3 linked regions of the Yarrowia lipolytica genome follow. The protein of the gene in region 2 purifies or fractionates together with the protein of the main gene of each other region. This does not show direct contact. Links are inferred from orthologs where the notes say so. Each region holds a gene or a part of one and is shown on either strand. Other genes may lie near its edges. The genes, in order: YALI1_F37890g, YALI1_E04613g and YALI1_D09504g.

Region 1 (2,944 bases), on a different chromosome or scaffold from region 2:
CTGAGTACGACTACTAGTTTTGAATAGATCACAAAAGAAAAAGGCTTTAAGCAGCCACTGGATAGATACTTACGGTTGCCATCAGTCAACATGTCAAATTTAATTCTATTTACAATGAACTGTCGATGTAGGCAACGACTAAACCTCAATGTCATCAATAGACTGGAGGAAGGACTTTTCCATCTGTCTGAGACGTTCGGCCATGGGGTGACTGCTTTTAGCCTCAACATCGAGCTGGGGAATAAACACCTCTCTCACCAGATGGCCGACGTAGTCTCCGATGTCCTCTTTCATGCTGCTGGTCTGGGTGATGTATTCGTTAAGATCATCTCCCAGAATCTGTTTGAGCTGTGCGCGAACAGTCTTGGTTCGAACGAGAGGTTTTCCCTTGAACTCAGCAGCTGCAGTAGTCTCGTCGATCTTGAGATCTTCCACGGGCAGGGTAAGCATCCACAACCAGTCACAGTCGACCTTGGCAATGATGTCTTCGCCGTCATTCAGAGCCTCCAGTTTGATGAGTCTAGATCGAGCTCCGTAGCTATGGAACTTGAGAATCATGCTCTTGAGCTCGGCGTCGCAGTCGGGGTTCTTGATGAGATACTCGGGATCAATCTCATCCATAGACAGCATGAGAGGAGTCTCAAGGGTAATGCTCTTGGTGACCCCGTGAGCAGCATCAATGAAGCCATAGCAGAAAAGGAACTCTGCGGCACTCTTATCAGGTCCGTAGTTGATAAAGACCTCATCGCCAGCCTTAATTAGCACATCTTCATTGACAATTAAAACCACCTCTCCACTGTCTACTTCAAATCGGCAATTTGCCTTGGGTGAGTGGTTGACGTAATCAAGAACAGGGACCATGGTCAGAGCCAGCGTTTCAGATCCAGGAGACTCAGGAATTTCCAGGCTTCGAGACACAACCCATTGCTCGGATAAATAGAACTGTTGCTCTGAAACTAGTTTCTCTCCTCCTTTCTTGCCGACAATTGCCAAATATTTTGCCTGCACATGCATTTTCTTGTGAACACACGCCATGAGGAGAGAGGTTCCCTTGAGACTATCAAAGATCTCAGTCTCGGGCCAAGACCAGGGCTGGTCCATCTCCGTACTTTTGGGCAGAGAAGACACATAATCGCTCATACCAGATGAGCTCTGAGAAGCCAGCAGGGCCATGAACAGCACAATGACATCTTTCTCAGATTTTAGCCATTCCAATGACGCTTTCATAAACTCCAAATGCTCTCCGGTGAGGTATTTGTTCTCCTCGGTCCAGGCGGATACATGTTCGGCGTTAATGAGCAGATCATTGGGGACTCTCAGAACAATACCGGAGACATTGTCTTTGGTGAATCTGAGCCCTTTGCCCTTTCCAGGAGACTCAAAAATCTCTGTGTTTGTGAGCGTCACTTTTCCTTCCTTAATCCAGTTCATTGCGTGTAGTGGTAGAGTGGTTTAGTTGAGAGATCTCGTATGTCTCGGGATGGGCTCACTTTCCATATCGTGCATTAGGTTCTGATAATGGTCCTTTAAGTCTAGGTTATGGGACACGAAATTGGGACATGGCAAAAGGGAAAACCCGTACCCTAGTTAAAGATTTGAAATTTTGATTTGACCCTTTGCATTACCGAAATAGTACAACTTCACGACACAACGTATTGAAAAAGATGGCCAGCTGGGACGACGAAGACTTTGAGGTGCCTGCCGCTGCCACCCCCGCAGTCCCCGCCAACTGGGATGACGACGAAGAGGAGGACGTCATGGACTCCTGGGATGCTGAGGAGCCCACCAAGGCACCCGGACCCAAGACCACCGTGGCTGCCCCCAAGAAGGCCCAGCGACAGCAGATCGCCAAGATCGAGCGAGAGATGGCTGCCATGAAGCTCAAGCCTGAGGATGCTTCCACCAAGCGAGACCGACAGCGACAGGCCGAGCTCGACTCCGACATGATGAACGCTTCTGAGCTGTTTGGTGGCACTGGAGGTATTGCTGACAGCGCTGCAAAGGCTGAGGCCGCTCCTGCTCCCGCTGCCCCTGCCGCTCCCATGAAGTTGTCGGATCTGGCAATCTTCCACCCCAAGGAGAAGAAGGACTTCACCAACCTCAAGGAGACTCTGGCCCCCATCCTCACAGACCTTAACAAGACCAGCCCACTGGCCTACCCCGACTTTGCCATCACCTTCACCAAGGCTCTGGCTGAGCCCCTCAAGGTCGAGCAGCTCCGAAAGCTCATCTCTACCCTGAACGCTTACCAGAATGAGAAGATTCGAGAGGAGAAGGCTGCTCGAGGTAAGAAGAAGAAGCCCGGTCTTGCTGCTGCCTCCGCCAAGATCAATGACGATAAGGATACTTCTACCTTCAACGACAACTTCGATGATTTTGACGATTTCATGTAAGTGGACTCGGAATGCGGATTTGTGCCACTGGGGTGGCTGCGGTATGCTTTTGACCTGATTGCTACATTTGGCAAAGGGTCTCTAACGCATATGCAGACGGACCTTTGTTAGAGGTGGTGTAATGTAATGTTTGATGACCTGCCATGCCATGGTACTTCAGACGTCATGTAGTTAATATTATGTAGTCTGGTGCGAACAAGATGGAAATATGGCCTGTAGACTTGTACTGTACGAACGGGCCTACAGCTCGTTGGTATGAGCAGGAACACTTTTCAAGAATATGACGGGTCGCCCGGATAGTAACAATGAAGTTGCATTGGCGACACAATATATATCGCTTTTCCCTCATTCTGGTTGCTTCATCTTCCTATAGCTACTGTACCACCAGTACGAGTGTCCTCCTCTTGCACACTTAACACCCCAGATACACTTCATGCAGTGCAGAACACGCCAAAACTCTCCTACAGTCTCACACATCAGACAACATGATCTGTATAGAATGTACAGAACCGGTGTCATCATTATACACGGAGTACTCAACCGATAACATT
Region 2 (3,071 bases):
AGTCTTGTATAGCTGTTCCAGCGGGGCGCAGCTAAACAGTTTATGCCAGACTAGCTCAGCTCAAGAGCTAAAAGGCGCTTGGTTTTGTGCGGCGCGTCCAGATGGAATTCCAACTTTGAGACCTAAAACACATCCGCAGTTCCAGCCGTCACAGTGCGGTTTTTTGTTCTCAGATCATGTGTCGTTCTAAGTATAAACAGTCTGTTGGTTCATTATCGAAATGTACAGGAAAGTAACATCTTCAGCACTATTTATCACTCTTTGCTAGCCCTCCATGGTCACCCTCTCGCTGTCCGAAGCTTAGACTTCCCATTTAGTGCCGATGGTTCTCTAAGAAAATGATGTACCCACCGTAAGAGACAAAAAGTGGACCATGCAGCCTCCAGTACGAGTATATTGCCGTATCAGCAATTAAATCCGCGGTGAGGAGAAGGCAGCAGCGGGGTAGATATTATCGGTTCTTGTACTGTGCCGTATGTTACGTCGGAGCCTCTCGTGCACGTGGCAAGTCAGCCCATTGTTCCTCTGCACGCGACTCCCTCTCCCCAAGGCTGATGATGATCACCGGGGGAGGCAACAGAGACCTTGCTCTGAGACAGCCCAGCCGTTGAACCCGTCCCTGATTCTTAGTAGAAAACCGTCCCCGCCAGGGCCTAGGAGGTAATATAGTAGCCACTCCTCCCACTCACACCCTGATCATTGCGTACGTGGTTACCTTGCTTCGCTTAACAAACTTTGGATTCTTATCTCCTCTAGACTCACAATCGATTGCCAACCTTGCTGCTCGTATCCATCAAAAGGCTACTTGGACACACAAGAACAGTCCATGTGCAGGTATGCGTGTGGATCGGAGGGTCAACTGACGATATCGGAGCAGTAGACTTCATAAATCTGACTTGAGACGATTTATAAGGGCGGTATAATCCAGTACCTACCTCACTTTTGAATTTACGCCAATTACTGTAGACCCAAAATCGAGGCAGCAATAGTTCTAGAACTGCTTCACTTCCGACGTTTTGCTTCACATGACACAAGAGACATTCTTCTGCTGGACAAACTGTAGGTACGTACTTCCTGTAATGTAGCTACAGTAACCTACACGTGGTGTCCTGGCTGTGCTTGTACATACTGTACAACGGGGTGATCGCAGTTTACTCTTCAGATCACCAATCTCGTCTTACAACTACGAGAACTGTACTTTACATATAGATCTCGTCGAGGGGCCGGGAGAAATATGCCATAATCCTGTAGATAATTTACGGCATCACAAGTACCGGTACAAGTATCCAAGACATTTATTTTCCCCACAGTTGCTGTATATAGCTGGACAGTGTTACATTTGCATATGACGCTACCTGGAATCGAACACACAACCATTGCTACAAAACTCGTACATTGCAGGCTGGGAGAAGTTCGAATCACGTGAAGCTAGATCTCAGATGGGTGCAAAATTAGCCCAAAACCACTGTTGAGATGAATTTTCATATAACAAAAGAAGGGTTGTTGTTAAACCCCATATGCGAGTGTCAAAATAGTCTCTGCCATCCATAATACCCACTACTTACCCAATATATCCCTTATGTACTGTTAGCCCTTCTCACAACTCTAAAGCCAGGGTAACTTAGTTGGTGAAAAATATGCAGACCTTCCATCATCAAGACACAGGTTCAGAAGACTTTCGACAGAACACAATGGACGAAAAGTGGGCCGACGACGACGAGTTTTCTACTCCCCAGATCACACAGAACGCCGATGGCACCAAGACCATCGTGACTCATCGAATGGATGATGGCAAGAAGTACAAGCGGTCCGTCACCATCAAGAACCAGAGCGTGACAGAGAAGGTGCTCAACTGTGTTGCTGAGCGATCCAAATGGACCAAGTACGGCAAGGAGCTTGGAGCTCCTCCTGGTCCCAACCGAATGACCACCACCATTGGAGAAGATATCGTCTTTGTGCTTGGCCTTAAGTCTGATCAGCCCGAGGAGGAGGTTGAGGAGGAGGAGGCAGCTGCTGCCGCCCCTCGTGTCGGAGAGGACAAGGGAGTCAAGTGTCGACTTTGTCAGGGCCCCCATTTCACCTCGAAGTGTCCTTACAAGGAGACTCTTGGTGGATCCACAGCTGCCGGAGGCATGGGTCGATCTCTTGGTGGAGACGAGCCTGCTGGCGCTGCGAAGACTGGAGGCTACGTTCCCCCTCATCTTCGAAACAAGGGTCCTGGTGGTCCTGGTGGTCCTGGCGGTGCTGCTGGTGGCCGAAGCGACGACGACGACGAGCTCACTCTCCGAGTTACCAACCTGTCGGAGGAGGCCACAGACGACGATCTGCGACGAATGTTCGGCAAGTACGGTATGATCAACCGAGTCTACGTTGCCAAGGACCGAGATACCGGCCGACCCCGAGGCTTTGCCTTTGTTACCTACACACTCAAGTCACACGCTCAGGCTGCTCTCGAGGCCATGGATGGTCATGGTTTCGACAACCTGATTATGAAGGTCGACTACTCCAAGAAGAGAAACTAGAGTGGATGGAGGATGCCACAAAAAGGGGAGACGGCCGCTACGGTTGTAAAAATAGTTCTGTTAATACAGTTTGCATGGTGAATGATATGAGCGGGAGTAGTTGTAGAGTGGGAACGAGATGGCATGGTGGATATTAGAAGTGGTTGCCATTTCTGTAATTTGAAGTTGGTCTAGCTTGAAGCTTAGAGATTAGTTCAAGGATTGAAGCTCCTCGGTTGTAACTGTTACAGGCACAGGGTGCAGCTCTACACATTTTGGTACATACTTGGTACAAGTAGTAGCTACCTATAGTGTACTTACACTGTGACTGACAACTGGTATACTTCTACTCAGGTAAGATACCGTATAGGACGGTCATGCATTAAGTGAGTAACTATGTCAGAGTCGAGAATTCTCTAGATCAAGCGCAGAGAGAGAGATTACTCACTAGCTCTCAGTAGCATACGGTACAGTGTACATACCATAATTGTTAGCAGATGGATACCAGAGGTACAGTACATACTATGAGAAGATATACTGATGGAAATCACGTCTGACTCAGTTGTTCTA
Region 3 (3,787 bases), on a different chromosome or scaffold from region 2:
GGTAGATTTCCGGAATAAGCACGAGAATGCTCTTGAGCTTGAGCCGCTTGAGATATTCAAAGTTCTCGGGCCGCGGGAACGACGACCGGTATATTTGGCCCACCACAATTGAGAAGTTTTCGGGCACCTCCCAACCCCCGTCTGGCGGCGTCATCAGTTTCATTGCCGGCAGCGTGACTCCGGTTTTTTGCTGGGTGATTCGCACGGGCTGATTTGCCTGGTGGAGAGCTCGCTGCACCTTTTGCAGTTCAGACACGTCCTGGTCGTCCACGGAGCCTTCGGCCACGTCAATTTCGGCCTTGGCCATGTCCATGGCGTCCTTCTGCGCCTTGATTTGCGCCTCGGTCTCCTTCTCATGCGATTCCTGGATCTCACCAGACGTCTTGTCTAACTCGCCAGAATCCTCGGCATCTTGAGTCACCTCCTCCTTGATCCGGGTGTCCAGAGAAACCGTCTGGATCGCCTCGGCGTTGTCGTGCACGGCCGCAAGAGTGTCGGCCAGGGTCATTGGTATGTGTATTTGTGTCTTTGAGCGGGTCTTGTGTCGGGCGGGGCAGATGCAACAACGGTGTGTTACAACATGTTTTGCGTCGTTGAACAGCGGAAATGGGCGAAAAAAGAGTTGAAGAAGGTAGCAGGCGGGATGGGAAGTATGTGCTCGAAGGCGGGACACCGATCGTGTGGTTGGCACAGCTGTACAAACCGATTTGATGACGTTTCTTGAAGACAGTGTTCCTCCAAGCAGGACCAGATGTTGAGCTTAAAGTTAATGCAAAAGTGGTGGTGAGAGGACGTAGCACGGTTGCACCAGAAGGGGCCCCAAAGGTCGCACAGATAATCTGAAAAGTTCATTTTGTTCCCCGTGTCGTTTTTACCAAATTTTCCTCTTTAAATATTTCTCACGGCTTACAAATAACCACTTGTACCCATTTGGCTCACCACCAAGCAAAGTTCAGACGAGCAATGCACGTGGGTCATAATTGCTGTATAGGGCCAACCGTCGAAAAGGGCTATTGTTTGGGTGTCTCGGGTGAGCAGAGGAGAAGAGTGGATTATGTAAGCGTTGAGAGAGAGAAAGAGGGGAGGTGTACATGGCGAGATCGTGCGTTCGTTTACCTGTGCACATTACTAAAACTGGAGGAGCCGGATGTCAATGAGAGACCAGTTACAGTACTGTATCGGGTATATCACCTTTCGACACAGCTACCAGTGCCAACTCGTACTCGTACTCCTCTTACCGGTACTTGCCCTAATTTGAACTCCCGTGATAGATATCTCCGGTCACGTCATATATATCGCGGGTCACGTGACCATCCACACCACCGTCTATCTGATGAACGCAGAGCCCAGCCCAGTCTCATGTCTACAATGAGCACATTTGAGCACCGCTTGGCTGATGTCTGCACACTGGTTTAGTTGACTTATGTACGCTGAATTAGTTAAGATAGGCTTAACAAGAACATGTCCGTGGATGGAGGTTCGTGTCTCAGTGCTTTTTGGAGGTTTGAGAGCAAGCAAAAATCAAGACAGGCGATTATATATGCCACTGACAACCCTATCTGATTAGCATCATATCCGTACAATACTACACTGGCGCAGTTCGAGTACTTGTGCCCGTACCTGTATTGCCACTTTGCTGCCTCATCGAGACTATGCATAGTTTTAGGAAGGTGTGAGATTTCTAGGGTCTGGGCAAATCAGGGTGAAAAAGTCTATTTGGAAGGAAAATGAATGATTTTGGACGATATTCGATTGAATATTTGTTCTAAAGATATAAATCATACATCCTGGTGGTCGATGGACTATATATTTATACTCCAGTGTCGTGCTCCACCTCCCTTCGCTTACTAAGTTCACTTTAAGATGCAAATGCAAAATAAAAATTTGCGACCCACATCACGTTGCACACAGTAGTTCTACTTTCTGCTTATGCATTATTCGACCGTGCCAGCAGCTCGCAAACCCACGATTCCCCAAAAACAAACCCGCCGGTGTACGTGAATGTACATTAGATAAAAACCCCGACACAAAAACAACTACTTCACCACCAACTTCACCATGTCCATGATCAACATCAGACGAGATAACCCCGACCCCTTCTACCGGTACAAGATGCCTGCCATCACCTCCAAGATCGAGGGTCGAGGTAACGGTATCAAGACTGCCGTGATCAACGGTTCTGACGTTGCCCGAGCTCTTAACCGACCTCCTTCTTACGTCATTAAGTACTTTGGTATCGAGCTTGGAGCCCAGACCCAGATCTCCGAGGACAAGGACCGATACCTGGTCAATGGTCAGCACGACGCTGCCTCTCTGCAGGACACTCTGGACGGTTTCATCAACCGGTTCGTGCTCTGTGAGGCCTGCAAGAACCCCGAGACTGAGCTCATCATCACCAAGAACGGAGACATTACCCGAGACTGTAAGGCCTGTGGTAAGCGAACTCCCGTGGACATCCGACACAAACTCGCCACCTTCATCGTCAAGAACCCTCCCTCGCAAGCCAAGGGTAAGAAGGGTGCTGCTGGAGCTGCCTCCAACACCTCTGCTCAGGCCCCTGATGTGGACGACAACGAGGACGGCGAACCCTCTGACGACGAGCTGACCAAGCGAATCAACGCCGAGGCATCCGAGCTTCCCGCCGCCGCTACCCGAGCCGACGACGATACCTGGACTGTCGACACTTCTGCCGAGGCCGTTGCTGCCCGACAGCGAGAGGTCGAGCAGGGTGTTGCCGGCATCGCCCTGGAGGAGAACGATGCCTACACCATCTTTGGAGAGTGGTGTTCCGAGGGTGAACCCAGCGACGTGGAGATCTACAAGAAGGCCATTGAGCTGGGTATTTCTGACGATTCCAAGACCGTCCAGGTTCTGCCCCAGGTCATTTTCGACAAGGACATTGTCAAGCAGATTGATGAGCACAAAGGTCTGCTGACCAAGATTGTGGCTTCCGACGAGCACGAAAAGGCCTTGCTTGGTGGTATTGAGCGTCTCGTTGGCCTTACCCACCCCGATCTCATCCCCGCCGTGCCCAAGATCCTTTTCAAGCTCTACGAGCTCGATCTCGTGTCCGAGGAGGTGGCCAAGAAGTGGGGAACCAAGGTGTCCAAGCGATACGTCGACAAGGAGACCTCCAAGAAGGTGCGAAAGGCTGCCAAGCCGTTCATTGACTGGCTCGATGAGGCTGAGGAGGAGTCTGACAGTGATGACGAGTAAACGGTGCATTTGGTGCCAACTGACAAATAGAGGATAGACCTCAAGCATGTAGCATATGTACGGAAGCGAGCAACCAGCCGTCGGCGAGTTGCGAGCGGACAACAACCAACAGTGACTAGCCCTAGGCGAGTGCACGACAGTATGTATAAATAAAATAAGAGTGACTTGTGAGTAACAGTGGGCGACATCATCTACTACCAGTGGTATAAGTAGCGAACGAGCTGTATGCGAGAGATTGACAGTATTCAGGGAGTCGAAGTAGGCAGACTGCAACCATTACCGATCTTGTCTTAGGTGAGTGAATAACGGTAAGTGAATGGGGAAAATGGTAGAGTGGACACACAAATCACTTGTAGTGGCAGTTACGAGGTGAGTGAACAACTGGATCGTGTGAAAAACACTCGTATAGTTCGTTACACTAGAGGAATGGCGGCTCCAACACATCTGTGGGTACCAAAACCGTCTTAGATTGTCTCCTGACGATATCAACATCGACATCATCTCATCAACACATACAACAGATGTGTTGGCTGGATCACGCCTCGCAATCACTCCATCACTCCACTCTATG

Evidence for each region.
Region 1: the proteins of YALI1_E04613g (region 2) and YALI1_F37890g purify together in Saccharomyces cerevisiae (affinity purification with mass spectrometry; 5 studies listed by BioGRID, with this or other methods). This does not show direct contact. The link is inferred for Yarrowia lipolytica from reciprocal best matches to the Saccharomyces cerevisiae genes TIF35 and HCR1.
Region 3: the proteins of YALI1_E04613g (region 2) and YALI1_D09504g purify together in Saccharomyces cerevisiae (affinity purification with mass spectrometry; 4 studies listed by BioGRID). This does not show direct contact. The link is inferred for Yarrowia lipolytica from reciprocal best matches to the Saccharomyces cerevisiae genes TIF35 and TIF5.

Annotation. Positions count from the first base shown.
Region 1 is NC_090775.1:3,787,735-3,790,678, reverse strand, and holds YALI1_F37890g (uncharacterized protein), read left to right. Parts: upstream 1-1,664; coding exon 1,665-2,393; downstream 2,394-2,944. Other genes in the region: YALI1_F37916g (uncharacterized protein), read left to right, coding at 1-17; YALI1_F37892g (uncharacterized protein), read right to left, coding at 139-1,431; YALI1_F37878g (uncharacterized protein), read left to right, coding at 2,879-2,944. UniProt on the Saccharomyces cerevisiae protein: Component of the eukaryotic translation initiation factor 3 (eIF-3) complex, which is involved in protein synthesis of a specialized repertoire of mRNAs and, together with other initiation factors, stimulates binding of mRNA and methionyl-tRNAi to the 40S ribosome.
Region 2 is NC_090774.1:459,904-462,974, reverse strand, and holds YALI1_E04613g (uncharacterized protein), read left to right. Parts: upstream 1-1,637; coding exon 1,638-2,522; downstream 2,523-3,071. UniProt on the Saccharomyces cerevisiae protein: RNA-binding component of the eukaryotic translation initiation factor 3 (eIF-3) complex, which is involved in protein synthesis of a specialized repertoire of mRNAs and, together with other initiation factors, stimulates binding of mRNA and methionyl-tRNAi to the 40S ribosome.
Region 3 is NC_090773.1:948,368-952,154, forward strand, and holds YALI1_D09504g (uncharacterized protein), read left to right. Parts: upstream 1-2,058; coding exon 2,059-3,216; downstream 3,217-3,787. Other genes in the region: YALI1_D09488g (uncharacterized protein), read right to left, coding at 1-508; YALI1_D09493g (uncharacterized protein), read left to right, coding at 964-1,416. UniProt on the Saccharomyces cerevisiae protein: Catalyzes the hydrolysis of GTP bound to the 40S ribosomal initiation complex (40S.mRNA.Met-tRNA[F].eIF-2.GTP) with the subsequent joining of a 60S ribosomal subunit resulting in the release of eIF-2 and the guanine nucleotide.